Tamandua tetradactyla: one gene and its partners. The protein of the gene in region 4 purifies or fractionates together with the protein of the main gene of each other region. This does not show direct contact. Links are inferred from orthologs where the notes say so. Each region holds a gene or a part of one and is shown on either strand. Other genes may lie near its edges.

The links.
Region 1: the proteins of USP48 (region 4) and H2AX purify together in Homo sapiens (affinity purification with mass spectrometry; 3 studies listed by BioGRID). This does not show direct contact. The link is inferred for Tamandua tetradactyla from reciprocal best matches to the Homo sapiens genes USP48 and H2AX.
Region 2: the proteins of USP48 (region 4) and RELA purify together in Homo sapiens (affinity purification with mass spectrometry; 3 studies listed by BioGRID, with this or other methods). This does not show direct contact. The link is inferred for Tamandua tetradactyla from reciprocal best matches to the Homo sapiens genes USP48 and RELA.
Region 3: the proteins of USP48 (region 4) and UBA6 fractionate together in Homo sapiens (co-fractionation; 3 studies listed by BioGRID, with this or other methods). This does not show direct contact. The link is inferred for Tamandua tetradactyla from reciprocal best matches to the Homo sapiens genes USP48 and UBA6.

The regions. Positions count from the first base shown.
Region 1 is NC_135334.1:21,661,266-21,668,243, forward strand, and holds H2AX (histone H2AX), read left to right. Parts: upstream 1-4,821; 5' UTR 4,822-4,917; coding exon 4,918-5,349; 3' UTR 5,350-5,858; intron 5,859-6,076; 3' UTR 6,077-6,455; downstream 6,456-6,978. Other genes in the region: DPAGT1 (UDP-N-acetylglucosamine--dolichyl-phosphate N-acetylglucosaminephosphotransferase), read left to right, coding at 59-179, 334-547, 820-966, 2,136-2,220, 2,545-2,733, 3,102-3,189, 3,355-3,510, 3,592-3,657; HMBS (porphobilinogen deaminase), read right to left, coding at 6,970-6,978. UniProt on the Homo sapiens protein: Variant histone H2A which replaces conventional H2A in a subset of nucleosomes. Nucleosomes wrap and compact DNA into chromatin, limiting DNA accessibility to the cellular machineries which require DNA as a template.
Region 2 is NC_135335.1:8,859,140-8,866,345, forward strand, and holds the start of RELA (transcription factor p65), read left to right. Parts: upstream 1-4,199; 5' UTR 4,200-4,289; coding exon 4,290-4,296; intron 4,297-4,866; coding exon 4,867-4,893; intron 4,894-4,988; coding exon 4,989-5,143; intron 5,144-5,306; coding exon 5,307-5,455; intron 5,456-6,268; coding exon 6,269-6,360; intron 6,361-6,704; coding exon 6,705-6,836; intron 6,837-7,206. UniProt on the Homo sapiens protein: NF-kappa-B is a pleiotropic transcription factor present in almost all cell types and is the endpoint of a series of signal transduction events that are initiated by a vast array of stimuli related to many biological processes such as inflammation, immunity, differentiation, cell growth, tumorigenesis and apoptosis.
Region 3 is NC_135345.1:69,395,965-69,403,564, forward strand, and holds the start of UBA6 (ubiquitin-like modifier-activating enzyme 6), read right to left. Parts: upstream 3,004-7,600; 5' UTR 2,965-3,003; coding exon 2,885-2,964; intron 1-2,884. UniProt on the Homo sapiens protein: Activates ubiquitin by first adenylating its C-terminal glycine residue with ATP, and thereafter linking this residue to the side chain of a cysteine residue in E1, yielding a ubiquitin-E1 thioester and free AMP.
Region 4 is NC_135328.1:204,652,958-204,659,892, forward strand, and holds the start of USP48 (ubiquitin carboxyl-terminal hydrolase 48), read left to right. Parts: upstream 1-3,926; 5' UTR 3,927-4,134; coding exon 4,135-4,268; intron 4,269-4,277; exon of another isoform or gene 4,278-4,465; intron 4,466-6,935.

The DNA of each region.
Region 1 (6,978 bases), on a different chromosome or scaffold from region 4:
CGCCCCCTTTCCTCCCCTGTTCCCTCCTCTCCCAATCCCTTTTGCTCCTGGGTCGCAGCCCAGAGTCCCAGGGAGTGATCAGCGGTGCTGTTTTCCTTATCATCCTCTTCTGCTTCATCCCTTTTCCCTTCCTGAACTGCTTCGTGGAGGAGCAGTGTAAGGCCTTCCCCCACCATGAAGTAAGTGGGGGATTGGGGGTGGTTGCCTATGGATGGGAGCTGGGAGTAACTTGAGAAAGTTGGGGTTATTTGGACTTGGGGAAAACAGGAATTCTTGGGAGAAGAGGTGGAGTGGGAGGAGGGTTGAGTGATGACCTGCTTGAGCCTCCCCCAGTTTGTGGCCCTGATAGGTGCCCTCCTTGCCATCTGCTGCATGATTTTCCTGGGCTTTGCGGATGATGTACTGAATTTGCGCTGGCGCCATAAGCTGCTGCTGCCCACAGCTGCCTCATTACCACTACTCATGGTCTATTTCACCAACTTTGGCAACACAACCATTGTGGTACCCAAACCCTTCCGTCCAATTCTTGGCCTGCATCTGGACTTAGGTGAGTAGCCCTGCCACTTAGTGCCCCTCTGGCCCTTACTTCAGGTCAGCAGATATCCAGCAGAATACCCTTCCTGATATATCAGATATCTATCAGAACACCCTTCCTGATGCCCTGCATTCTTCTCCAGTGTTCCTGTTCCACTCCTGTGTCTTCTTCTGCCTTCTGTCCCTCATCTTGTCCACTCTCCTTACCATGCCCCTCAGAAGAATATTCTTCAATCCACTTTCCATAGGTGGCACTAGTTCTTTTCATACTGTCTTTTCTACCAGGCATTCTGTACTATGTCTACATGGGGCTGCTGGCAGTGTTCTGTACCAATGCCATCAATATTCTGGCAGGAATCAATGGGCTAGAGGCTGGCCAGTCACTAGTCATTTCTGCTTCCATCATTGTCTTCAACCTGGTAGAGCTGGGAGGTAGGTGGCTTGGCAGAAGAATGAGAAAGAAGTCTGAGTGTTTGGTGAGTTGCCTGATATATGACTTTGGGTAACTCAGAAGCAATATGTGATTAATTATAGAAGAAAAAAGAAGCTATTTGCTTTGCAAATAATAACTAATATTGATTGTAAGAGAAATAGCAGCCCTGTCATCTGTCACTGCATTGATACTAATAGTTAGGCCGTGGTATTCTTCTGTTGAACATAAACAATTTCATAGAACCCCCAAATCAGACAAGCTCACATTGTGATTGTACTGATGCAAGACAAAGACCAGACCCCTCTATAATCATATCTGAGAACAGGCAGAACCACAGGAACACTGTGCAAACCACAAAAATGACCAAACATCCTCCTCTCCTGGCTAACGTGAGTGACTGCAGCTTCTTTCCAATAATAGTGCAGTTCCTCCTACTTCTTAGATAAAAACTATTAAGATGCTCACCCATAGAATTATTCCTGCTTTCTGATAGCTCTCAGTTCAGAGAAAAACTCTGCTTCTTTGCATCCTTCCCCAAATTACCCAAAACAAATCCTTTAACAAGCTCTCCTGACACCCTCTTACTGAGGTGCTGTGTCATTCCCTTTACAGCATGGATTTCCACAGTCTTCCTGCTGCAACAAGTTAACAACCCAACTTTGACTATAGATGTGCTTCTGGTGGTCTTTGGGCATTGGGTATCAACAAGCGCTTATTAAAGTTAACCACTTTTCATTTTGTGTTTTCTTTATTATCATTTTTTAAAAAAATTTTATTTAAAGCACTTTTCAAACATCTCATTTAAACCTCATAAAAACTCTATGGAGCAGGTGTTATCACCTCCATTTTAGAGATGAGGAAACAGGCTTAGAGAAGTTGAATGTATCATGATCAAGGCCACACAGCAAGGAAAGAAGGCTCATATTCAAACCCAGGTCTGAAAGTCCTAAACCAAATTTAAAACAGTAATTAGTTTAGGAAGGCTCTGTGAAAGGGGTGGTATATCCAGAATTGCTAGGGTGACATGAGAGGGTTAGTGAGTACTTGAATGTGATTTGGGAGAGGTTGATGCTGCTTGGAACAGAACTTAGAGATAGGTTGGACAGACAGAAATAGAACCAAGTAGCTATTAACTTTCCCCCTCTTCCTTTTTTCTTTGCTCCCAAAGGTGACTGTCGGGATGATCATGTCTTTTCCCTCTACTTCATGATACCTTTTTTTTTCACCACCCTGGGACTGCTCTACCATAACTGGTAAGTAGGCTAAGGGAGAGAACTGTGTGAATGTGTGGTCCTGATCATGGCCCACCTCTTGATGGAGAGGCTAAACCCGTGTTGAGTATCTTCTGGGTCCTCAATTGTTAGAATTCGGAAACTGCTCTCTGCCCTGCAATATTTGGGGCAAGAACCCTCAGGTATTGATGAATTCAGGTCTCTGTGTGCTACAAAGTTGCTGGAAGAACTGGAGTCTCCTGAGTCAAAACTAGGGTCAGGATTACCTACTGGCCAGTGTGAGAGGTGAGAGAAAGGGTTGGTAATGCTTCTTGCCATTGGCTTAGATACCCCCACCCCCCACAGGTACCCATCACAGGTGTTTGTGGGAGATACCTTCTGTTACTTTGCTGGCATGACCTTTGCCGTGGTGGGCATCTTGGGACACTTCAGCAAGACCATGCTACTGTTCTTCATGCCCCAGGTGTTCAACTTCCTCTACTCACTGCCTCAGCTCCTGCACATCATCCCCTGCCCTCGCCACCGTATACCCAGGTAGCCGCCTTGGGTACCAGGGTAGAAAAGGGTAGCCATTGAAGGGACATCAAAATCTTTTCACTTGGGATGTCTAAAGCCAGCCTATACATTTGCTTGCAAAGAGAGTGAGTGTGCCCAAAGAAGGGCTAACTCTTTCCATGTGGGTAGCCCTTTTGTAATCTACAAAGCAATTTACTTACATAAACTCATTTAAAATTCAGAGTAGCTCTGATCACACAGTAGTAAGCAGCAGAGCCAGAAATAGATCTCATATTGTTTAATTCCACAGTCACTTCTCTTCCTATTGATTAACCACTGGGAGGAGAGTTCTTTAAGTAATGTCACAGTCACATAAAGCTCTCTTCTCACCCCACCCCACCCCACAGACTCAATACCAAAACAGGCAAACTGGAGATGAGCTATTCCAAGTTCAAGACCAAGAGCCTCTCTTTCTTGGGCACCTTTATTCTAAAGGTAACAGAGTGACAAGGAGGTAAGGCCTTAGGCAGCCATCCTGAACTCGGGGCATGGGAACCCTGGGGCTGCCTTAGATCAAAGGGAATGTGGAAGCAGTAGGTAGATCCACATTCCTGAAGCATAGGTTTTAGCTGCAGTTCTCTCCACCTCTGGCCCCTCCAGGTAGCAGAGAGCCTCCGGCTATTGACAGTGCGGCAGAATGAGAATGAGGATGGTGCCTTCACCGAGTGCAACAACATGACCCTCATCAATTTGCTGCTCAAAATCTTTGGACCCATGTATGAGCGAAACCTCACATTGCTCTTGCTGCTGCTGCAGGTGAGGTTGAGGATGGGGTCTCCACCTCCTTCTTGTCTCACTTTCTCTGTGGTTCTCACTTGAATCCTTTTCTTCTTACAGATCCTGGGCAGTGTTGTCACCTTCTCCATTCGGTACCAGCTTGTCCGACTCTTCTATGATGTCTGAGTCCCCTGATCATTGCTCTCTACCTCGAAATCTCCAGGGTTCCCGACTCAGGCTGAGCTTTTTCTGAACCAAGACTGTCTCCCAGTGCAGGCCTCTCCCACACTTCATTCTTCCAGAATTTGTTCTCAGCTTTTCCCGTCCCTGATGATGCCCTCTTAACGACTATTGGTTGGGCTTTGCCTATGGCTTTCTTCAACTTGCCATTCTCTTCCTCTTCATCCTGTTTCTGCCCTGAGGTAGGATATGGCAGCTTTTATGCAGTTATCCACAACTCAACTCTCAGAGTCCTGACAGCCAAGGAAAATGCCAGGCCTTGGGATAGAACCTGGGCTGGGGACAGAGACACAGACCTGAAGGTGACTTGACATTTGACTACAAATTAAGTGTTCTGATTAGTAAGAGCAGACCAGGAGCCAGGTGCTCCCAATGTTGACAATAAAGTGATGTCTTTTTATTGTTCCTGAAGGTATTTTTCCTGTATGGGCATTTTAGGGTAGGATGGAAGGGTTAGTGAGGGCATCCCCAAAAGGATACCTATTTCTCTGCTCCATCCTTTTCATTACACCGGACCCCTTCTACCAAGAAGTGAACAGAAAGAATTGAGAACAGATAGCCCATGTTGAATAAATATTGAAATAATGATATTTTGGGTGGCGTTGAGGACCAGAAGATTGGAGTTATCTAATTTCAGGCATAGGTTCATACTTTTAGGTGACTCATTTCTTCCCTTTTTCATTCGCCCTTTGCCCGATAGGAGGACAGAATGAGAAGTAACCAGACCTGGAAGGGTAAGCAGCGGTGGTCTTAGTGTTCACTCCATTTCTTTAAAAATCCTAGGCCAGCCCGGATTTCCCAGAGGCTTTTTAGGCGGTTTTAAACTCCACCCACTTTGTCTTCCGGTCTGGTCTCCCACTGTAGCGTTTAAATCGCGCGCGCTTCACATGGATTGGCTACATCTGGGGAGGTTGGGCGTCTGCGGTGCGCCTCTCCTCCTCGCCTTTTCCCCCGGGCTAAGGGTTTTCAAATTCGACCAATCGGCAGGCGCTCTTCCTCCTTCGAGAAGCGTCATCAAAGGGTTAACAGTAGCCAATCGGAGGCAGGTATTAGAGAAGAGAGCCAATCAGGAAGGTGCGGGGGTGTGTCCTAGGGGCTATAAAAGTGGCCCCACGGCGCGTGCGACGGCAGTTGGACTGCGGCTGGCTGCTGTGATTTTCAGTGTTGAGAAGCTTTTTCGTCTTTGCTTATCCTACCTCGCGCGGCATGTCGGGGCGCGGCAAGACCGGCGGTAAGGCCCGCGCTAAGGCCAAGTCGCGTTCATCGCGCGCGGGCCTCCAGTTTCCTGTGGGCCGCGTTCATCGGCTGCTGCGGAAGGGTCACTACGCGGAGCGTGTGGGCGCCGGCGCTCCGGTGTACCTGGCCGCGGTGCTCGAGTACCTGACCGCTGAGATCCTAGAGCTGGCGGGCAACGCGGCCCGCGACAACAAGAAGACGCGGATCATCCCTCGCCACCTGCAACTCGCCATCCGCAACGACGAGGAGCTCAACAAGCTGCTGGGTGGCGTGACGATCGCCCAGGGAGGCGTCCTGCCCAACATTCAGGCCGTCCTGCTGCCCAAGAAGACAAGCGCCACCGTTGGGCCTAAGGCGCCTGCGGGCGGCAAGAAGGCCACGCAGGCCTCTCAGGAGTACTGAGGGAGGCCCCGCCGGAGTCGGGCCGCCCCCGGCCCTCCCCATGCCACCACAAAGGCCCTTTTAAGGGCCACCACAGCCCTCACGGAAAGAGCTGAGCGGCGGCCCCCGAGCCGTAACCTTCATCCCCGGCCCTTCACCCCCACACCCCCCGGCCTCTCCTCGCCGCGCGTTTGCTTCCGGCCTCTGCAGCCGCGGGCCTTGCAGGCCTGCGTTTCTATTTCACCTACGGGGAGGTTGGAAAGACAGGCTGTCCTCTGTGGTAGAAGCACCTGGCCTGCCGGCGCAGCTCTGCTCCCACACCGCTTTCGGTCTCTCCAGTGGCCTTGGCGTGGGGGCGCGGCCCCTGCTCCAGAGCTAGTTACCCATCCGCTCCTATCAATTGAGCCGCGGGGTGGCGGTGAGACGGGATCCCCTCCGAGGAGACCGGCCTCCCGCCCTGCAATTGCTGCTGCCAGGCGGCTGAGGGTGCAGCCCATGCCCAGGGGTCGGACGGCCCTGCGGCCCTCAAGGTGAGTTGGTGCAGAGAGCGGCCGGCAGAGGCCCTCACCGCCGCGGCAGAGTGGTCGTCTGTTACCTTTCCAGCTTGGTGCTTAGCCCAGGACTTTTCAGACGTGACTGTTGATTTCCAGGCTTTGACGGGAGAGGGACTGGTCACTTAATTTGCTTGGGTGCCCTTTTGCTGCCAAGTCACGGGCTTTCCCATCTATTCCTCCATCTTTATTCATAGGCTTGTCTGCTACCGCCTGGGCTGTGATACGAATGTTTCGCCAGAGATGACTGCCTCTCGGAAAGAAGCTTGGGGGAGGGGCAGAGGCCTCCAGCTGGGAGTCACAGCTGACTGTGTGGACAGTTCTGTGTAGGTGCCTGAAACCGACTGGTGGCCAGGCCTGTGGGGTCTACCCTCTCCACCTTTATTTCCCTTCCAGCAACTCAATTCAGCAATGCAAGCACCTCCTAGATAACCAGCACAAGTCAGTTCATCCCTGTCTGGACTGAGCCTCTGTTGGCTTCTGAACTGGAATTTTGCAGATAACCCATCCAAGACTAGTACCTTAGTTATTGGGAAATTTCAGATGGACTAATTTTATTAAATGTTTCTTTTTTAATGAGGAGTCTCTTCATTTTGCAAGAGTTGTAGGATTGATTTTAGAGTGTGTATAGTGGGGGATTACCTAAATAAGGGAGTTCATTAACTAGAGAAGGAGCAAGCCACAGTATTTTTGGATTACAGTTCTGTGTTTCTTGGGAGAGAATTCCTTCTGTTTGAAATGAGAGCTACTGAAGTCGAAAGGTTGTTCCAGGATTACTTTGGGTAGTGGCCTGGCCTCTGAAATAAGGAGTAAAGGGTTTTGTGTTTGCTATTTACTTATTTTAACTACCCCACTGGGAAAGAGCAGAAAGAAAACAATCTTCAGAACTGCTTTATTAGTAGAATTAGTTACATTCAAAGGCTATGACCTTTCTCTAAAGAGATGCAGCCCCCACCTACTGAGGAGGCCAGGCAAAGTCACCAAGGCGAGGCAGGCCCCTGGAAGTCCATGATCCTGGGGTATAATCACCTCAGTCAGCATCAAGAGTGGGGCACTGTGGCAACCCAGGTACCTGTGCCCCACAGACCTGTTAGTGGGC
Region 2 (7,206 bases), on a different chromosome or scaffold from region 4:
TTAAAGAGTGCTTTGAAAACTATTGCTTTTTTATTTCTTTGCTTTGTATGTATGTTATACTATACAATAAAAAAGTTAAAAAAAAAAAAAAAGAAAGAAAGAAAGAAAAAGAAAACCAGTGTAGCTGCTGCAGACCTCGAGAGCATAGATACACTCCCCTGTGACTTATACCTAACCCCCTGCTCATCACCTGTACCTGCCTTCTTTATGCCCGTGCAGAATTCTGTATTTATTATTCTCTTGATTATGTTTTTAAAGAAAAAATATCCATTTATATATGCATGTCTATATTACATTGTTTGGGCTTGCTAACTTTTATTTTTATGAAGAGGGCACCATATTATATGTTTCCCTTTGTTTATGTACTTTTTTCATTCAGTCTTATGGGACTAAGATTTATGCGTTTCATAGTTCATTCCCTTTTCATGACTGTATACTATTCTGTTACGGAGCTATACCACAGCTTGTGAATCTATTCACCCTGAGGATAGGCGCTCAGGTTTGCGGTGCTTTGCTATTATAAACAGTGTTGCTAAGAACATTCCTGGGATTGTCTCCTGTTGTCTATATATCCAAGAGTTTCTCTTGGGTGTATACCTAAAAGGGACTTCCTGGGTCCTGGAATATGCAAATAGCCAATGATACAAGCTAATGCTACAATGCGGATACCAAGTTACACTTCCAGTAGCAATGTGGTACCAGACCTCCTCCACTTGACATTGTCTCCAAGATTTATTGTCAGACTTCATTTTAATCAAATGGTTGTAAAATGGAATCTGGGTGCAATCTTAATTTGCATTTCCATATTACTAGTGAGTTTGACAAACTTCCCATATGTTTATTAGCCCTTTGTGTTTCCTCTTCTGTAAAATGTCTGTTTATGCCTTTGCCTCATTTTACCATTAGGCTGTCTTTTTATTTCGATTTGTAGGCATTCTTTACACCAAGCCTTCGACAGGTGCTTGTGCTGCAAATATTATCTCCCAGCTCATAGCTTGACTTTTCACTCTCCTTAAGGTGTCATTAAAAAAAAAAAGACAACTTTTTAGTATAAAATGTAAATACACACGAGAGTTTGAGAATAGCATAACAAGTTTCCATGGATTCATCATCCAATTACAATAGTTTAGAATTCATGGCTGCTCCTGTTACCTTTTTGCTGACAGCCCCACCCCCACTCCCAGGAAATCTCCATTTCAGGGATTATTTTTGAACTATATCCCAGGACTCTTGGGAAAAAAGACTACTATGTTATTATCACACCTAAAATAATATTAATAACAATCATTTATTATCATCAAATGCCGGGCCAGCGTTCAAATTTAGCCTGTTGCCTCATGAGACTTTATTTAATAGTTTGTTTATTAAAAGCATCCAAACAAGCCTTTCTCAGTGCCTGCCCAATACACCATAAACTAAAAAGGGATAGCTATATAATGTGTAAGAATAACCTCCAGGATAACCTCTCGACTCAGTTTGAAATCTCTCAGCTACTGAAACTTTATCTCATTTCTCTCTTCCCCCTTTTGGTCAAGGAGGCTTACTCAATCCATTGCTGTCGGGCCCTGGCTTATTCTGAGATTTCTGTCCCATATTGCCAGGGAGATTTACACTCCTGGGAGTCATGTCCCATGTAGAGGGGAGGGTAGTGAGTTCACCTGCTGAGTTGGCTTAGAGAAAGCGGCCACATTTGAGCAACTAAAGAGGTTCTCTGGGGATGATTCTTAGGCCTAATTTTAAGCAGGTTTAGCCTACCCTTTGCAGGAATAGTTTTCATAGGGATGCACCCCAAGATCGAGGGCTCTCCTATTGATTTGGTTGCCCCTCATTTGATTATTATTTGCATGGAATAATTATTATTTGCATACTTTCACTTTCAACCTACTCATGCCTTTGAATTTAAGGTGATCTGTTGTAAAAAGCATATAGTTACGTCACACTTTTTAAACTTTTTTTTATTGTGTACTATAACATATATACCAAGTAAAGAAATAAAAAGCAGTAGTTTTCAAAGCACTCTTCAACAAGGGATTACAGGAGAGACCCCAGAGTTTTTCATGGGCTACCGTACCATCCTCTCAGATTTTTTCCTTCTAGCTGCTCCAGAATATAGGCGGCTAGAGAGCTTAAATACTTTTTTATCATCACAATCGACTTTTTTTCCTTCTTTTTTTTGGGAAAAATAACATATATACGAAAAAGCTATCAATTTCAAAGCACAGCACCACAATTAGTTATAGAACATATTTCAGACTTTGACACGGGTTATAATTTCACAATTTTAGGTTTTCAATTCTAGCTGCTCTAAAATACTGGAGATTCCCGGTGCCTGCCCATGCAAAAATAAAATACTGGAGACTAAAATAGATATCAGTTTAATGATTCATCACTCATATTCATTTGTTAAATCCTATCTTCTATGTATAATTCCACCATCACCTTTGATCTTTCCATACCTCTCTTTAGGGGTGTTTGGGCTAGGGCAATTCTAAATTTTTGCTATTGGAAGGGTCTGTCACTAATGTGGGGTAGGGAGATGGAACTATCTGACGTTCTGGAGAGGCTGGGCTAGGTTTCAGGACTTAATTGGACCAGGGACCCACCTGGAGGTTCTAGATTTCTGGAAAGTTCCTCTAGTGCATGGAACCATTGTGGAATCTTATAAATTGCCCTGGGTGTTCTTTAGGATTGGCTGAAATGGTCCTGGCTGGGGGTTGGCAGGTCTACCTGAAGCTTGTGTAAGAACCACTTCCAGAGTAGCCTCTTGACTCTATTTGAACTGGGCCCTCTAGCTAGGTTTCAGGATTTATCTGGTCCAGGGACCCATTTGAAGGTTGTAGGTTTCTGGAAAGTTATTCTAATGCATGGAATCCTTTATGATGGTTTTCACTGTACTATTTTTAAAAGTATAAATATATAAAAATCAAATAAAAGATCATGCCTAAATCAATGATGATTGCATGTCATTAAGTAAAGATTATAATTCATCCATTCTTCAACCTGAAATCTGCCTCCGCAAAAAAAAAAAAAAATCAAAACAAAAAAAAACAGACTTTTCTAATCAGGGACGCAAGAGAAACCGAAATGAGTGGGAGGGGTGGCAACTTCATTTTCACTTTTCTCTTCCTGTTTTTTCAGAGCCTGGGAAAGCAAGTCAGAATTTCCAGTCTTTTTCAATTCCCAAATGATTCCCGAATTTAGAACCCATTTAAAGAAAATAAGTTTTTCTCCATCTGGAGAAGGCTCCACCGCCTGCTTTGGAACGTCCTCAATCTGGGACGGGGGGGCGAGGGAGGACCTGGGGGGTGGGGAGGGCGCCCCAACCCCAGCCCCTTCCCCTCCCTGCAAGGATGCGCTTTGGGCCTGGACTTGGAGGGGGGCGATGGCATGACAATGGCATGGCTTGACTGATGGCTGAGCTGCCCCCAAGCTGGGAGCTCTGGGAAGGCAGGCGGGCCCCTACGGGTGCGAGGGGACCCCCGGGGACTTAGGCAGCCTGCTCCGGGCGTCTCCCGCCCACTCATCGTCCCCGAGGCACTTGAGCCGGAGAAGCGACTAGCCCTGGCCTAACTCGACCGCGGCCGCCCGCGGGAGGCGACGCGACCCTCGGCGCCTCAGTTGCCCCCTGGGCGCCCCGGGGTCCCGGCCCGTGGGGTGGGGGAGCCCGGCCACTCTCCTTTCCCTCCACTGCCTCTGCTTGGGGTGGACAGGAACTTAGCAGGTGCCTCTGCAGGTACAACCCCCGAGAGGCACCTTGGGTGCTCAGGGGCCGCGCGGGTCAAGTCCAGCGCGCGCCTCGGGGGCCGAGCAGGCCCGGGCCTTTCCCGGCGCGGGACGGGCGGCCGCAGCCCTGCAGCCCTGGCCGCGCTCCAGGCCGGGCGCGGTGACATCACCGCCCTCCCCCGAGCGGCGGGAGGGGGGCCCCGAAATCCCCTAAAAAACAGCGTGAGTAATCGCCCGGCCGCCCTCCAGGCGGGGCCGGGACTCGGGAGCGAGCGGAGCGGCCGCGCCCTCCCCGGGAAGCCTCTCGGACCCGGGTCTCGGCGCGGCGCGGCGGCGGCGGCGGCGGCGGCGGCGCGCGGCCTCCTCGCCCCCCGGTAGGCGCGCACCCGGCTCCCGGGCCCCCGCGCGGGGCGGCGGTGACGTAGCGCGCAGGCGCGGCCGGATTCCGGGCAGTGACGCGGCGGCGGGCGCGCGCGGCGCATTTCCGCCTCTGGCGAATGGCTCGGCTGTAGCGCGCGCGCCGCGGGCCCAGCTGCGACCCCGGCCCCGCCCCCGGGACCCCGGCCATGGACGGTGAGGGCGCCCTCTGACCCCGCGGGGGCCCCGCGGTGGGAGTCTCCGTGCCCCCCTGGCCCCCATTCCTGCGCGGGCGGGTGCCACGCAGGGAGCGGCCCGGCCGGATGGTGACGCGGGGCGGGCCGGGCGTGAAGGGGCCTGACTCAGTTTCCCCTCTGGGTGGAAGGGGGGGGCTGGACTCAGTTTCCGTCTTGGGTGGGGGTGGGGGTGGGTGTGCGGGGCCCTGACACAGGTTCCCCCCAGGGTCCATGGGGGCAGCGCTGACTTAGTTTACCTGTTAGAGGAGAATGTAGCTGACTCAGGTTTCCTTTCAGGAAGAGGGGTGGGGGAGTGCATCCTCTTAATTTTGGTTATGAAAGTAGAGAAGGCCTTGACTTAGTTTCCCTTAGTCAAAGGAGGACACCGTACCTAGTTTTCCCTCAGGAAACAAATGTCTCTGGACCTCTTCACCCCACCCCATAGTCTCCCTACAGAGTCTAGAAAGCAGGCCCTGACTCAGTTTCACTCCAGGGGAACCTGGTGAGGATGGGAAGTGGCTTGCTGACCCTTGTCTCCCTCCCCTTTCAGACTTGTTCCCCCTCATCTTCCCCTCAGGTAAGTATACTGTCCTTTCTCAATGGTTCCAGGTGGGGGTTGGCAGGGGGGGAGAGGGTGAGGGGCAGTGGGGACAGTGGCCTGCATCTCCCCAGCAGAGCCAGTCCAGGCCTCTGGTCCCTATGTGGAGATCATTGAGCAGCCCAAGCAGCGGGGCATGCGCTTCCGCTACAAGTGCGAGGGCCGCTCAGCGGGCAGTATCCCAGGCGAGCGGAGCACGGACACCACAAAGACCCACCCCACCATCAAGGTCAGCAGCCAGCCACTGGTTCCCAGAAGTGGAGTGGGGAACACAGATTGGGCGCTAGGGAGAGGCTGCGGAAGTGGTCTCCCTTCAGGCCTCTGTGCCCTCTGTGTCTGGGAGGTGGGATTGGAATTCTTGGGCCTCTAGGTGCTCTCTGTACTTTGGACAGATCAATGGCTACACAGGGCCAGGGACAGTTCGCATCTCCCTGGTTACCAAGGATCCCCCTCACCGGCCTCACCCCCACGAGCTTGTGGGGAAGGACTGCCGAGATGGCTTCTATGAGGCTGAGCTCTGCCCGGACCGCTGCATCCACAGGTGAACTCCCCGCAGGACCTGGGAGTAGGAGGCGATGACGGGAAGATGGGAGGGTCTCGTGTAGCTGTGACAGTCTCACTCCTTTCTATACACAGGGCAGAATTCCTTATTCCTTTCTCTGTCCCCAGGTCTGCAAAGCAGACTTGCTTTGTCTTGAAAATATTTTTGTGGGTTCATTCCTCCAGCAGATGTGGGCTCCTTGGGGCAGGAATGGGGCCCTAATCATCTCTGTGGCTGAAAGAGCAGGTCCCTTGGTGTTACACTGCTTGTGCTGAGAAAGAAAAACCACAAACCAGCCATCTCCCCTGGAGCTCACATACCAGGAGACAGAGACAGGCTGTAAATAAATATACAAATAAATAAGCAAGATAGTGTTAGAGTGATCATTTCAATGATGAAAATAAAACGAAGTAATTGGCTGTGAAGAATAACCTGGGGCAGGGGTTATTTCTTTGGATTGGAAGTCAGGCAAGGCCTCTCTGGGCTAAGACTTTGATGATGAGAAAAAAACTGAAGCAGGGAGAGAACATTCCAAGCAGAAAGAACGAGTGCAAAGGCTTTGAAGTGGGAATGAGTTGAGTGTGTTTGTAGAGACAGAAAAGGGACCCCTGAGGCTGGAGGAGCTAGGCAGGGGCCAGGTACCACGGGGCTTGTCAAGCCTGAGGTCAGGAGTGTGGTTTTTACTGCAGCACGATGGGAAGCCGTTGGACCACAGAGAGATGGTCTGGTTGGGAGTGGGGGGCACACTGAATAAGGCAGGAGGGTCTAGACTCTGCTGGAGACAGTAGGACTGATACCGGGGCGGGGACTCAGCTTTCAGAACCTTGGGATCCAATGCGTGAAGAAACGAGACCTGGAGCAAGCTATCAGCCAGCGCATCCAGACCAACAATAACCCCTTCCAAGGTAAGGGGTAAGGGTGCGAAGGCCAAGGGCTTGTTTGGAGCACCCCTACCCTCCATTACCTTCCTGAGGCCACCTTCCCTGCCTTTCTCCCTCATTGGCCAAGACTCACAGGATGCACGGGATGTCGCTGCCCGTTCAGTGCACACTCCCATTTTACCACTGGGAGCACTGAGGGGCATGGCATCAGGGTGACAGGTAGAGCCAGTGATGGGTCTAGAACCTTCTCTTCCTACTCCTCTGAGTTCCTCCTCCTATTTCCCATGCCCCTGATCAGCCCTCCCCGCCGAGAGCTCCCTGTCCCCAGCCCTGTCCCCCGGCTCTCCTGACCACCTGCTTTTCTGCAGTCCCCATAGAAGAGCAGCGAGGGGACTACGACCTGAATGCTGTGCGGCTCTGCTTCCAGGTGACAGTGCGGGACCCGGCAGGCAGGCCACTCCGCCTGCCGCCCGTCCTCTCCCATCCCATCTTTGACAACCGTGAGTCACCAGGGAGCTGTGGGCAAGGGAGAGATGGGTCTGGGGAGGAGGAAGAAGGTTGGGGTGGGTACAGCCTGGGATGGAGCTCGGGCTTCTGTCTGTCAACGGGTGCATTTGTCATCTCTGTGCCCCACTGGGGGCTGGCTAGGAGACACGGCAGAGGAGACCTGGAGCTGCCCTCAGGGTGCAGCTTCCAGGCCTGGCAGGGAGTCAGATGCATTTTCAGTATCCTGTGATGAGGGGCTGGAGGGGACAGGCTCTGCTCCCACTGGTAAGGGGATATATGTGTGTGGACGGGGTTGGTATTCCATCTATGAAAACAGGCTAGGCATTTCGGGGTAAAAATCTTCCTGCCAACATGGGGCATGAC
Region 3 (7,600 bases), on a different chromosome or scaffold from region 4:
TTCTGCTATTAAAACACATCTCAGGCAGACCACAGTGACTCAGCAGGCAGAGTTCTCACCTGCCATGCCAGAGACCCGGGTTTGATTCCCGGTGCCTTCCCATGCAAAAACAAACAAACAAACAAAACAAAAAAACAACCTCTAGAGACATCCACTATCAAAGAAAATCTCAAGAGATATCTTGGATCTGATTATTTCTCACTATTTCAACCAGGACAATTTTAGACTAAACCATCAACCACATTTTACCTGAAAGTGCTCCTAACAAGTCTATTTCTACTATTCCCTTTCCCTTCAGTTTATTCTCCATATAACAATGGCCTGAATCTTTAAAAATATAGTCAGATATCACTTCCATCCTAAGACCTCTTCAGTGGATTTCCTTTACTTTTAGAATAAAATTCAAACACTTTACCATGCCTCAATGGGCCTACATATTCTGTCTCCCACTTTTCCAATCTCAACTCCCATCACTCTCCCACTTGCTCACTATCTTCAGCCACACTGGCCTACCTGCTGTTCCTTAAAAAAGCCATACTTGCTTTCACTTCAGAGTGCTTACACTTGCTATTCCTACTGCCTGGAATATTCTTCCTTCAGCCCTTTGTATAGTTGACTCCTTATCATTCAATCCTCTATTAAAATGTTGCCTAAAAAAAAAAACCTTCCTTTAAAATATTGCCTCATCACAGAGCACACTGCTGAATAACCCTCTTAAATAAAATGTCCCTTTCTTAGGTCATTCTCTATTTCACTAACCTGCTGTATTTTCCTCAAATCATTTATCATTAAGTGAACTATTAATTCATTTAATATTTGCCTATTTGTTTATTGTCTGACTCCCCACCACTAAAACGTATAGCCCATGAAAAATTCACTAATGTTTTTCAAATATTTAAAATAGTACCTAGCTAATAATAATAATAGCTAATACTGTGCCACACATTGTCTTAAGAGCTTTGGCTATACTAACTTAACCCTCACAACAATTTATGAGATGGTACTATTAATATCTCCAGCCAACAGACAGAAAACAACTGAGGCTGAGAGTGGTTAATTTAACTTGCCTGGGTTCAAAGAGCAGGTAAATGGCAGACCCAGGATTTGAACCCAGGCAGTCTAGCTGACCACCACATCATACCTCCTACTGCCTCACAGTAGACAGAAAAGTAGCACTTGTGCACTATGTTAAATGAATGCATTTTAGAAACGAAAAAAGAGTTCAACGTACTAGTTTCTTAAAAAAAGTGTATTTACCTTATATCATTTACAGTGTGCGTCACATTGTTTTCACAGTATGGCATACAAAGAAAAATGATATTAGTAGGAAAACGGGAAACAGGGAACCAGCTTGTGGCATTTGGGCCTGAGACACTCTGAAAGTTGTGATCAATATCAGTATCATCTCGGAAAATGTGTAATCCTTTCCAGGCTCTGGAAAGCACTAATTATGAATTATGGGACACTTAAAAACAACGTGATGGGCACAAAAGTCAGTTTTAGAATACATTTTTCTAGGCCTAGCTTTCGGAAATTAAAGAATATGTGAATATATATGATTAAAATGTCATCATTTATCTTAGCAAACTTCTATTGGTATCGATAAATGATACCAGCTTCTAGCTAACTAAATAGATAACTATTACAAAAATTCCTGAATGCTATTATGAAGGTGAACCAGAAGATGTCTATGTTCTAAGGGATCACCTATTCCTTAGATAGGTAATTCACACACATACACAACCTGATTTTGGCATTGTAACAAAATAAGAAAATAATTTTAATTGGTTTCCTATTATCTTATTCCTAGTACACTTTTACTTGCTGACTTCCTTATATGGGACAGTAGTCTACTACATTCGAACTATCTTTGCTAATTAATAGTACGACTGACACTTTCTTTTCAGAAAGTTCTACCTCACTGTGAAGTGTCCCAAGAACCATTTCTACGATAAGATCTATAAGGCAATCAAATATGCTTCAAGTAACAGAATAGGGGTTTTGTTTGTATTACATAATAATCCCCAAGGAAATGCGGCAGTGTTGGTAACAGCAGGCAATACGACGGCCCTAAAAGCATCCCTTCCGTCCGAAGTGAGCCACGTAGCTACTGGTTTATGGAAAGTCTCCCTTTAGATGAAAATAACATATCCATTACTTTTATTCTTGGCATATCGTGTTCTGATAGAGGGCAAGATAAAACTACCCGCTTTATTAATTACGAGATGACTGAAAATACTGTTGTCCTGTATGGAACAGGAACTACTAACCAAGAAATTGGTAAGGGCCACAGACACACCTCCAATTCTGTAGAGGCGGGAAAGGAGAACCTCAAAATGAATTGGGAAATAAGAACGGGTAACTCGGATATTTTTTCCCCACATTTTATTTCTAACTGTGAGCAACAGAGGCCTCAGGGTGTCCACACTGCATGATTCATCATTACCAAGTTCCCTTCAGTAACAGCTCTCAAAGGAGCGTCTCAGTGGAAGATCGCGCACAGTGGAGCTCTTAGCTTTCATTTCACTGAAAGGAGGAGGCAAGGTGCTCGACACCAAGGCTAGAAGACCACATCAAACAACCCGGGCCAGAAATCTCGGTCCAAACCCTCACGTCCGGTGACAAGGAGGACCCCAACCGGAACTGAGACAGCGCAGAAAGGGGGCGGGAAGAGGACTTCCTCCTCAGGAAAGCCGGCAGCCGCAGACACCCGGGCCCACGCCGCCACACCCACCCCGCGCCTTCCCCTGGCCTCCCAGAGCCGGCTCCGGTCCACCCCGCGGCCTCGCGTCTCTCCCCTTCCGACCGAGCCGGAGAAGCAGAACAGGGGCCCTGAAACACCCCGCGACTACTCGCGCCTTCGGCCCCACACCTGTCCTCTCACCTGCTGAACCCCCAGGAAGAGCAGGACGCCGCTTCCCCATCACGGGCAGCTACGGAGCTGACCTCCTCCATCGCCGTCATACACGCAGCCGCCGCCGGCTACAGAAAGGCAGGGAAAGGGGCGGGATCGCGGGGTCAAAGGGCAGGCGGCTACGTCAGTGGAGGGGGCGGGTCCGGGGAACGCCTTGCCGGCTGCGCTTTCCGGTCTATTCCAAGAGCGCCATAGTTTCCGGTTTGGGTGCGGCCGCGGGAATTGTTGCAGGTGACTGCGACCATGTGTAAATGGTCGGGAACACAGTTCAGAGTTACCTTTATGAGTTTATGGCCAAGCACACAGGGCTATAAAGACCAGTGAAATCATAGATTTATGTAGCATAGTCCTTGGCTTTTATAACAAGAAGAGGAAACCCCTCCATTTTATACATGAAAAATCAAAGACTAGTAATATCTCCGGATTTCCAGTTTCAAAAGTTGGATATCTACATGTGTTTGGTTCCATTCACGTTGATGAATAAGATGTTTAATATTTGTAATCCTTCCGTTAAAAAGCTTAGAATCTAGTAGAAACTCACAAATTTCATAGACTTGTGTGAAGTTTAGAGCTGTAAATGACATTAGGTCTAGTTAGCTTCCTCTTCCAATTTTGTGGGTAACAGAGAGGAGTTTCCTGTCAGTTTAAGTGACTTGTTCAGGTTATAGGTAGAGCTAATCACTATCCGATTAAGGTCATTTAAGGATCTATCATCTACTTCTCTTTCCACTGGCTCCCCTGTTTTCACTTTTCTTAGAACAAGAATGAGTTGGACACTAACTTAGGATTTTTCTTTCATTATAAACAACTTTATGTATTTGAAGAAACATCTGTAGGATTAAAAATTGGTATATACTTTGTCTTAACATCATTTTATGTCTTACATCATCCTATGGAATGTGTGGTTTTTTTTTCTTAATTAGCATTTCTTCCTTTTTAGTGTGGAGACTAGAATCCAGGCCAAACTGTGCATTATCCTTTGCGTTCTTCTATTATCTTTTCAAGTATTTCCAAATACCTGAAAACTACAAGCTTCTTATTTGTGGCATCACTCAGGTTCCACAACCCTGTTTTGAACCTTTTCTACATAACAAAGTAACCGTTAAAGTGAAATTGGTCTATCTCCTACTCTTGCAACATTCTGCTCTAACGCTAGGCTTATCTTCTCCCTGTCTTATCTGCTTATGCTAAAGTTAATACATGTAAATATCTTCATCTGGTCCACCCCATAGATTCTGCCAATTTCTTCTCTCTAATCTCCCTCATTTCTTTCTTTCCTTAAATATTTATGTAATTGGAGTTAATGGTTAGAGAATAATCAAGTGATAGAGATACTGTGATCCTGATTCCCTTACTCTCAATATCTCAGTGTAGCAAACAAACAAACAAAAATAAATGGGCAAAATAATTTTATTAAGTCATAAGCACGATGGAGAAAATAAAAGAGGGCAAAGAGAAAGAGACTTGCAGGAAGAAGGGTAAGATTTTAGATGGTCAAAGATGGCCTCTTTGAGGAAATGACATTAGAGCTGAAACCTAAATGATGTGAGTCCTGTGAAGATCTAGCAGATGAGCGTTTTAGACAGAGGGAAAGCAATGCTACCTTCTTTCTTCTCTGGAAAGAGACAGAGACTGGGCTCTTCCTGGAAAAAAGATATTTAAAGTGAGGGATATTCTTTGAGAAGGAGATTCTCCATTGCTGAATTTGAAGATGAAGGGACCCGTGTAGCAAGGAATGGAACAGCCTCTAAGAGTTGAGATTGGCCTTCAGCTAACAAGGAAATAGGGACCTTTGCCTACAACTACAAGAAACCAAACTTGGCCAACATCCTGAATGAACTTGAAAGAGGACCCTGCGTTTCATATCAGAACACAGCTGATAACTTGATTGCAGCCTTGTGAGATCATGGGCAGAGAACCCAGCTATCATATGCCATAACTTCTAATCTACATAATTGTGAGCTAATAAATTTGTTTTAAGCTGCTAAGTTTGTGCTAATTTGTTACATAGCAATCAAAGACTAATCTACTGTATTTTATTTAAGACCCACATACCTTTACATTTTAACATCCTTGAAATTGGAATGCTTTTTTCTTTCTTATCAATACAGAAAATAATAGTGCATCTTAAAATTGAAGGCATCTTTGATTTGATGAAATATGGTATAAATTATTTCAAATCTCCAATATAAAAGACACCCAGGTTTAACAGATTTTAGTGTTTAATGTTTAATATTTGCAAAATAGAATAGAAAAATAGATAGTGACCAGACTTTTTGACAGTGATGCTTTGTACCAGAAGAAAGTGGAATAACGTATTTAGGATATTCAAGGGGAAAAAAGTGTTGACCAAGGATTTTATATCTAGCAAAACTGACTCTCATGTACAAAGGATACAGACCAACTATTGTCAATATGCAAGAACTCAAAGACTATTGTTGCTATGAACCCCTCTTGAAGAATTACAAACAAAATTACTAGAGAAATATCAACATATAAAGACTGACTTGGGTTCTTCACAGAATAATGTAATCAGTTGTGTTTATTAGTTTTGTGTTCCTTCTAGTTTATTCGTCATTAGCAGTCTCCTGAGTTCTGTCACCTAGTTTCTGAGATTCTCTCATTCTGAATCACATTGTTTTTTCTTGTCTTGTATCATTTTCTTAAGGGCTTTTAGATATTTTGAAATAGTAAGTTACGGATTTGATCTGTTTTGTCAGCATGTGTTTCAGGCATGCTTTCATTAACTGTAATGATACAATTCTCCTTATTCTCTTTTTTTCTTATAATACCTTTGTATAGAATTTGACCTTGATACTTTCTGTTGCTAATTTTTATGTGAAGTTAGTGTTTCTGAACTTTAGTATGAGGCAGATTTCCTAGTCCAAACAAGCTAATTCTATCAAGGACAAACCTATATTCCAAGAAAGGTTTATTGGCTATTTGCGAACTGGAAGTCCACATTCTGGAGAAATCATGGGGTGCCTTACCAAACAAACAAAAAAACATATGAATTTATAGGAATTTGGGAAAGTCACAGCAATGACTAGACCAAAGCCACAGAAACTGTCAACTGCAGTCAGAATCCAGCAAGACCCAGGGTCTGGAAAATGAAAACGATCTTCCAAGCTGTTCTGGTGTCTTCTGATGATAACGACATTATATGCTTGCAGGTCCAGGCCTGTGTGGTGCCTAAATTCCCTTGGGCAGTCTTATCATGAGTCCGGGAGGTGATTGGTCATATATATGCTTGTTATGGGCAGAAGACACATCAGTCTCTGCGTTTGGCTGACAAGCAGAGTTTATACTGGTTGGTTCTTTACCCATCAGTATGGGGGCTTTGGTGAGGATCCACCCGGGAAGCACAAAATTTAGTAGGAACAGAACTGATTTTCTTCCAAATATCTAGTCCCCACAGGGGGCCTGCTTCATTTGCCAGTCCAAGACTTACCAGACCTGACCAGGCTATTAGCCACAACCCAGGAGACAGGAAGGTTCACAGGTTTTTAAATGTAATACTTAAATTCCCCTAACAGCAGCAATTCCATAAGGTCTGGGGGATGTGTACATATAGACAATATGTCAATTTCAATATTACATTCAGTGATGGAGCCATAGAACGGAGGCTTGTAGGGACCCAAAGAGACATACGCAAAGTCACTTTCTGCGAGGGTTTTGGGGGGTAGCATCAGGCCCAAATATGGCATCATTATTTTTTCTCCCCCCATCTCGGTGCTAGGGGCCACAGGGATCACAGTCACCTGTACACTGACTGGTTGGTAAAAAGCTCCAGAATGGCAATGCTCTCCCACCTTCCCACCGTACTGTAGCCTAGGCATAGAACCTCCTTCCCTATGGTTCAGTGAGACCTCAATGGAAAGATCCTGTTAAAAACCAGTGGCGTCCTCCTACTAATCCCAAGACTATAAGTTGGGGCACCCAAATAAGTCACAGGGACCACCGTGTCGGACTCCAGCAGGGATGTCTGTTTGCTTAGCAAAGAGAGTAGAAAGCCTGCAGAACACCTGTTCTCTAAGGTGCAGGGTGGTACATTCCAGTTGGTGCAGAGCTCAGGCTTTCCTGGAGAGGGGGTGATAGTTTCCATCCTTACCTCACTTACCCCACTCTTTCTCTCTCTCTCTTAAATATTAGAGATGGCAGGCATGCACCTATGCACGTAGAAGTGAGAGGCCACCTTCTCTTCCTGGTGTGGTAGTCACTGTTGCTGAAGCCACAGTTGAAGAGAACATGGCACAGGTCCTTTTGCTGTAGGATGATATGAGGACAGGTCTGCTCCTGCTGCAGCTGCCAACATTGCTTCTTGGATGGTGGCTCCTCTCAGGGCTCCAAGGGGGACAGTGTACTTTGTCCCCTCAAGGTAACATTTTATTATTATGAACTTTAATCAGATTTATCTCCCTCGTAGTAGAGAAAAACTCTCCAAGTTCTATTTAGGGCCACTGGGAAAAGCCATCCTAAAGGGCTCTATACTTTCCCTGCTTTTTTTCTCTGAAACTTCAACAACTTACTGCATCTGTTAGTGTCAGGGACCTTTTGGTAGGTGCTTAACTCACTAGCCATCCCAGCTGTCTCTGCTCCCATTGTAAGAGAGCTTAAGCAATGGCTAGAGAACTGCTTCCCTAGTCTTCTTTGAACCCCTCTGGTGGATCTCCCTCAGGGCCAAGT
Region 4 (6,935 bases):
AAAGGCCAGATCATGAAAGGCCCTTGTATTAGTTTTCTATTGCTGCTGTAGCAAATTACCACAAACTTAGTGGTTTAAAACTATTTATTCTACAGTTCTGGGGGTCCGAAGTCTGAAATTGGTTTCACTGGCTAACATTAAGGTGTCAGTAGGACTGCATTCCTTTTGGAGGCTCAATGGGAGAATCTGTTCCTTTGCCTTTCCAGCTTTTAGAGGTTGCCTGCATTCTTTGCCTTATGACCTTTTCCTCCATCTTCAAAGCTGGTAGCACAGCATCTTCAAATCTGACTTAACCTCTATGCTATCTCCCTCTTTCACTTCTAAAGACACTTGTGATTACATTGGTCTGCCCAGATAATCCAAAATAACCTCTCATCTGAAGATCCTTAACCTAATCACACCTACAATTAAGTGTTACTTTATCTTACACAAGGTAACATAATCACAGGTTCTAGAAATTAGGACATGTATATCTTGGGGGTGAGGTGAGGGGCATTATTCTGCCTACCAAAGCCCTGTAAGGTCATAAAAAGGAGTTTAGATTTTATTCAAAGTGCAAAGTGATGACAAAAGGGAGTGACTTCTGATTTATGTTCATACTTATTTCTTTTTTGTTGACTGACAAAATAGAGGGCATAGGATAAAGACTAGAAAAACTCCAGCATTTAGAATCCAGAAGAGGAGGAAGCAGCAAAGAAGAGTGAGAAGGACTAGCCACTGGGGGAAGCAGAGAACAAGGAGAGGGTACTGTCCACAAGCCAAGAAAGGGACATTTCAAGACTGTGGGAGTGGTCATCTGTGCTGGTGATTGCCGAAACGAGGCAGAAGCTAAGGCAAAAGTGACCCTTGGATTTGCTAAAATGGAAGTCATGGTAATCTAGATAAAATGGGCTGTAGAGGAGTGATAGGATCATAGGCCACACTGGAGTTGTTTAGTGAATATGAGATGAGGAAGTAAGGAAAATGTAGATTTGTGCTGTCCCTTATGGCAGCCGCTGGCACATGTGGCTACTGAACACTTAAAATGTGGCTAGCTTGAATTAAGATGAGCTGTAAGTGTAAAATACACACCAGGTTTCCAAAACTAAGTGTGAAAAAAAGAAGGTGGAATACATTATTAACTGATTACACACGGAAAAGTAAATATTTTGTATGTATTAGGAAAATCAAACATTATTAAAATTAATTTCACCTCTTTCTTTTTACCTTTTTTTAAAATGTGGCTACTAGAAGATTTAGCATTACACATGGGGCTCACATTACATTCTCACTGGACAGTGCTGAGGTAAATAATTGTTCAATAGTTTTATTGTAAAGGGAGCCAATGGGAGGAAGAGTGACAGGGATTTACAACTGCTGACTATTTCCAATTTCTTGAAACTTTCCTCTCTCAGCTTTTGACGTAGTCGATTTGGATTCTCCTGGATTCTTTCTGGATTTGTAGGGGAACATTGTTCCAGGCAAAGGAAACAGTAATTGCAAAGGCACTGAGGCAGGAGGCTGCTTAGATGAAAATGGACAGAAAGACCATATTGTTGGAGTAAAGTTGAGGGGAGGGGAGAGTATCAGGAAACGAGGATCTGGAGATAAGGGCCTTTTATCATTTATTGTGATTGAGACAGGACATCAAGGCTTTTGGGGAGAAAAATGACACATGCTGAGAACAGACAATAAAGAGGCAAAGATGAGAGCAGGGAGACCAGTTAGAAGGCTTTTGTCATAATTCAGGTGAGAGACCAGGATGGAGAGGATGATGATACAAGGCGCATTCTGTCCATATTGCAAAGGCACAGCTGATAGAATTTGATGAAGGGTGTAAGAGAAGGTGAGGAGCTAAGACTATCTCTAAGCTTTCTGGAAGGATAAAGTTGCCACCTACTGAAATGGGAAATATTACAGAAAAATATTTGGGGGAGGAAAGCTGGACACGGAAAAAGCCTATGTTTTGGACTTAAGTGTGAGATACTTATTGCACATTGGAGATGTCAAGTAAGCAGTAGGGTATGTAAGTTCGGGAGAGAAGGCAGATTCAGAGATATGAATTTGAGAGTCATCAACACATATACGTATTAAAAGCTGTAGAAGGAGATGAGATCACCTAGGGAGTAAATGTAGATAGAGAGGAGGTCCAAGGGTTGACTCTTAGACCACTTAAGTTTACAAACTAGAGAGATAAGAAAGAACCTGTAAAGGAAACCAAAAAGGAATGACCACTGAGTAATGGGAAAACCAGGAGTGCGGTGTCCTGCAAATGAAGAGAAGAAAGTGTTTCCAAGATGAAGGAATGAATAACTGGGTCAAATGATGTTGACAGGCCAAGTAAGACTGTGAGCTCACCACCAGATTTAACAATGTAGGGGCCAATGGTGATCCTTACATGAGCAGTTTTGGGAGGTGATGGGGGTTAGAGCTTGATTTGGAATGGGTTTACAAGTGAATAGGATGAGGAGAGTTAGAGAAGATTATACACAACTCTCTCCAGAAATTTTGTTATAAAAGAAATGAGAAAAATGGGATGATGGCCGGAGGGGGATGTTGATGCTAAGAGGGGTTTTCCAAACTGGGGAGAAATTACATCTTATTTTTATGCTGATAAGCATGATGCAATAGAAACTGAAAAAATGATGCAGGAGCAATATCTCCCCCAAGACTGAATCTTGTCTGTTGTCGTGACAGGGATAGTCTTGATACACCTGAAATGCAATATATTAAAATATATATATATATTTTTTAATTTTCATATATATATATATTCATCTCCCTTCTAAACTGCTTTTCCCTTTTGTAGTCTCTATCTTGCATGGTAGCAATTCTATCCATTTAATCATCCAAGTTAGAAAGCTGGCATAGCAGTAGTGATACCACAGAAATAATATTCACAATTTCATCTCGTGTGAAGTGCAGCAATGGATGACATAGGGAGCTGTAAACACTCAGCAAAGTGCTAAGCCCCAGAATAGAAGATCAAATACCGAAAGGTAGACATTGGTTAGACCCAAATCATCAAATTCTAGCAATTCTATGTCCTAAATATCTTACAAATTTGTTCCCTCCCTCCGTATCTATTACCAGAAGTTAAATAGCTGAGTCAGAAATTCGTGATAATATATACCCTATCCCACCCCTCCCGGGAGGGATCTTATTGAAATGGAAAGCCCGGAAAAACCTCATTCTACAATTTGCAAAACATCCTGATATGGCTATTATTTATATGCAGGGGCAGGAGTTACAGAAAAGCAATGTTGTTTAGCCCGGTTAGAGCCTCAGGAAAGAACCAGCAAATCGCTATATACAGATAACCCTCGCGAGGAGGGTCAGCTAACTGCAAGACCGACCCTACACACCGGTGAAATCCGGCCGCTGTCCGCGCACCTGTGAGACTACAAATCCCAGCATGCTCGGCATTCATCAAGGTGCAAAGACGCAGTGTATGCCGGGACATGTAGTCCGTTCTACCTTAAGAAAAAACCAGAACGTCCCGCGACATCAGGAGGACTCGGGAAAGGAGTCTGAATCGGTCCAGGCTTAAGTTAAATCTTTCTCTAGAAAGCCCACCCTAGTTTCTTCGGTGATACGGTTTCTACTCTAAACAGGCCCCACCCCACAGTCCAGGCGGACCCATGGTGTGAGTTGTGTAGCCTCTCGCGTGAATACTTCACATTTACAGGCGAAGTATCGGAAAGCAGGAATAGGCAGTCTTTTGCCCTCAAGGCGCACGCTAGAGAGAGTAGCGCCACGCGGGACGCTACCTGGCACAAAAGCTGAAACGCCGCTTGTCCAGCAGCGCCGGTGAGGACGTGGCAAACCTGCTTTCGACTGCCGCTACCCTTTCCCCCAGAGGCGCAGGAGGCGCGAAGGCTGCTGGGAACGCGCATGCGCCCACCACGACGAAGCATACCCCTCTAACGTCCGCGGGCGCGGGAGGTGTCGAGTTTCGACAGTGGCACTTTGCGGCCTGTCGTGCGGTAGGGCGCGGGCGGGCGCGGCGGCAGTGGCGCGCACAGGTGATTGACTGGCCGGCTGGACGGCTGGCTGAGGGAGCTCCTGGTCCTCATCGCTTGCAGGTGGCGGAGCCTATTTGGGCGGTGGAGGCGGCGGCGGCCGTGCTTGGGAGGTGCTCCGCGGACCAAGGCCATGGCTCCGCGGCTGCAGCTGGAAAAGGCGGCCTGGCGCTGGGCAGAGACTGTGCGGCCCGAGGAGGTGTCGCAGGAGCACATCGAGACCGCCTACCGCATCTGGCTGGAGCCCTGCATCCGTGGCGTGTGCAGGTGAGGCTTGTGCACCGGCCCTTTCGGCCCCTTCACTCTGGGTCCTCGAAAGCCGGGCCGGAGCAGGGTGGGAGGAAGGACACCGAGGCCCGCTGCTTGCATCGGAACGGCGCGGAGAGGAGCGAGGTGGAGGTTTCCTCTTTTCCGCCGTCTGGGCGATCTAGGAAGCGTAGCTTTCCCGTGCTGTCTGCGCAGAGGTAATGCTGCTGAAAGCCTTTTAGAAAGGGTTCTGGGTTCTCACCTAGAAGATGGCGGTGGAGATGGTTGAAAAGCAGGAGCTGAGAGCTTAGCAAACGTTGATGGTTGTTATATCTTGGCTTTTTCTTTTGTAAAAAGGGAACTTCCTGGAGGTGAGCTTCATCTCAGTTTATCTTGCATTAGTGTTGACGCGAAGGCCTTTTTGGAGAGGGCAATTTTAGAAAGGTATGGTTAGCCTACGTCATCAGTACTCTCCATCCCTAGTTGACCTACCCTCACGCATTAGTTTTGTATTTTTTTAGGTTTTTTCTTTTTTGTCATTGTGATTCTACGCCACTCTGAGTATCAACTTTGAGCTCAGCTTTAAGTGTCAGCCTTCAAGTCTGCTTAGACTTTGACCCTAACCTTACACGCCTTGGTCCTATTTATTCCTTTCCCACCTTTTAACGCGGGAACTATAGTTTTTGTTCCGGAATGTTGTTGAATTGGTTTTGCCAAATTGGGCATGCTCAGTAGCCTTCTTTCAGCAGGCATTTGGTAAATGCTTTCTGGAGTTTTTACTTCCCGCGGGGCAGGGGCGGCGGCGGCGGCGGCAGTGATAGTGTATCCAGATAGAATGGTAGGCATAGTCTCTAACTTTTGAGCTTAAAGTCTCGTTTGGGAACTGAACAAGTTAGGGAACTTCCATAAATCAAGCAAATAATTCCAAGCTCTGGGCATCTGATTCACAAGAAGGGCAAATCTGACTCCCACGTTAAGTACTGGAATGACAGAAGGCCTTGTATAGTAGAATGTACCAAGCCTCAGTCAGTATCCGCGCAGTTTAGTTTCGAGGTAGCTGAAAATTTTTAATTGTTCACCGTTCATAATTCTTATGTTAAAGGAAGTGAAGGTGAAGTAGGAATTGACTGAGAGGAGTGTCATAGAGAAAATGAGTTTTAAGCTGCAGTTGCAAGATTCATATCCAAGCAGTTTAAAAAAAAAACAGCTTTATTAACATGTAATTCATATACTATGCGATTCACTCATTTAAGTAGACAATGTTTTTTGGTATATCGGAGGGATTGTGCAAGCCATTTCAGCAATCTAATTTTCTAACATTTTCATTCTGCCTAGAAGAAACTCTGTATCCATTAGATTAGCAGTCTCCTGCCCTGCATCCCGTGCCCCCAGCCTTAAGCAACCTAATCTACTTTTTGTCTCTAAACTTTCCTGTTTTTCATATAAGTGGAATCATATGGGGACTAATGTGAATGTCTTCTTTCACTGAGTATAATGTTTTCAAGGTTCATGTTGTACCATTTATAAGTACTTTATTCTTTTTGTGACCAAAAAATAATCAGTTGCTTGGATATACCACATTTTATATGTCCATTCTTTGGTTGATGGACATTAGGGTTGTTTCCACAGTTTGGCTATTATGAATAATGCTGCTATGAAAATTCATGCACGAATTTTTGTGTAGATACATGTTTTCATTTCTATTATGGAGTAGAATTGCAGTGATAACTCTGTTTAACATTTTAGAGAACTGTCAGACCGTTTTCCAAAGTCCAAAACTGCTGCACTGTATGCATTTTACATACCCATAAGCAATGCACGAAAGTTCCTTTTCTCCACATCTTCACACTTGTTATTGTCTTTGATTTAGCCATCTTAGTGTTTGTGAAGTGGCATCTCATTGTGATTTTGATTTGCATTTCCCTGCCTGCTAATAATGTTGAACATCTTTTCATGTATTTATTGTCTATTTGTTTGTCTTCTTTTTAGAAATGTCTATTCAAATCTTTTGCCTATTTTTTCAATCTACCAAATTTATTTTAACATTTGTTTCCCCCATTATTTATTTATTTTTAATTCATATGTTTTACTCATCTGTCCATAAGGTAGATAAAAGAAGCATCACACACAAGGTTTTCACAATCACACAGTCACATTGCAAAAGCTATATCATTATACAATCATCTTCAAGAAACATGGCTACTGGAACACAGCTCTACATTTTCAGACAGTTCCCTCCAGCCTCTCCATTACATCTTGACTAACAAGGTGATATCTATTTAATGCTTAAGAATAACCTCCAGGATAACCTCTCGACTGTTTGGAATCTCTCAGCCATTGACACTTTATTTTGTCTCATTTCACTCTTCCCTACTTCAGTCGAGAAGGTTTTCTCATTCCCTTGGTGCTGAGTCCCAGCTCATTCTAGGATTTCTGTCCCACGTTGCCAGGAAGGTCCACACCCCTGGGAATCATGTCCCACGTAGAGGGGGGAAGGGCAGTGAGTTTGCTTGTTGTGTTGGCTGAAGAGAGAGAGGCCACATCTGAGCAACAAAAGAGGTTCTCTTGGGGGTGACTCGTAGGCCTAACTTTAAGTAGGCTTGACCTATCCTTTGTGGGGTTAAGTTTTGTATGAACAAACCTCAAGATTGGGGGCTCAGCCTATAGCTTTGGTTGTCTACATTGCTT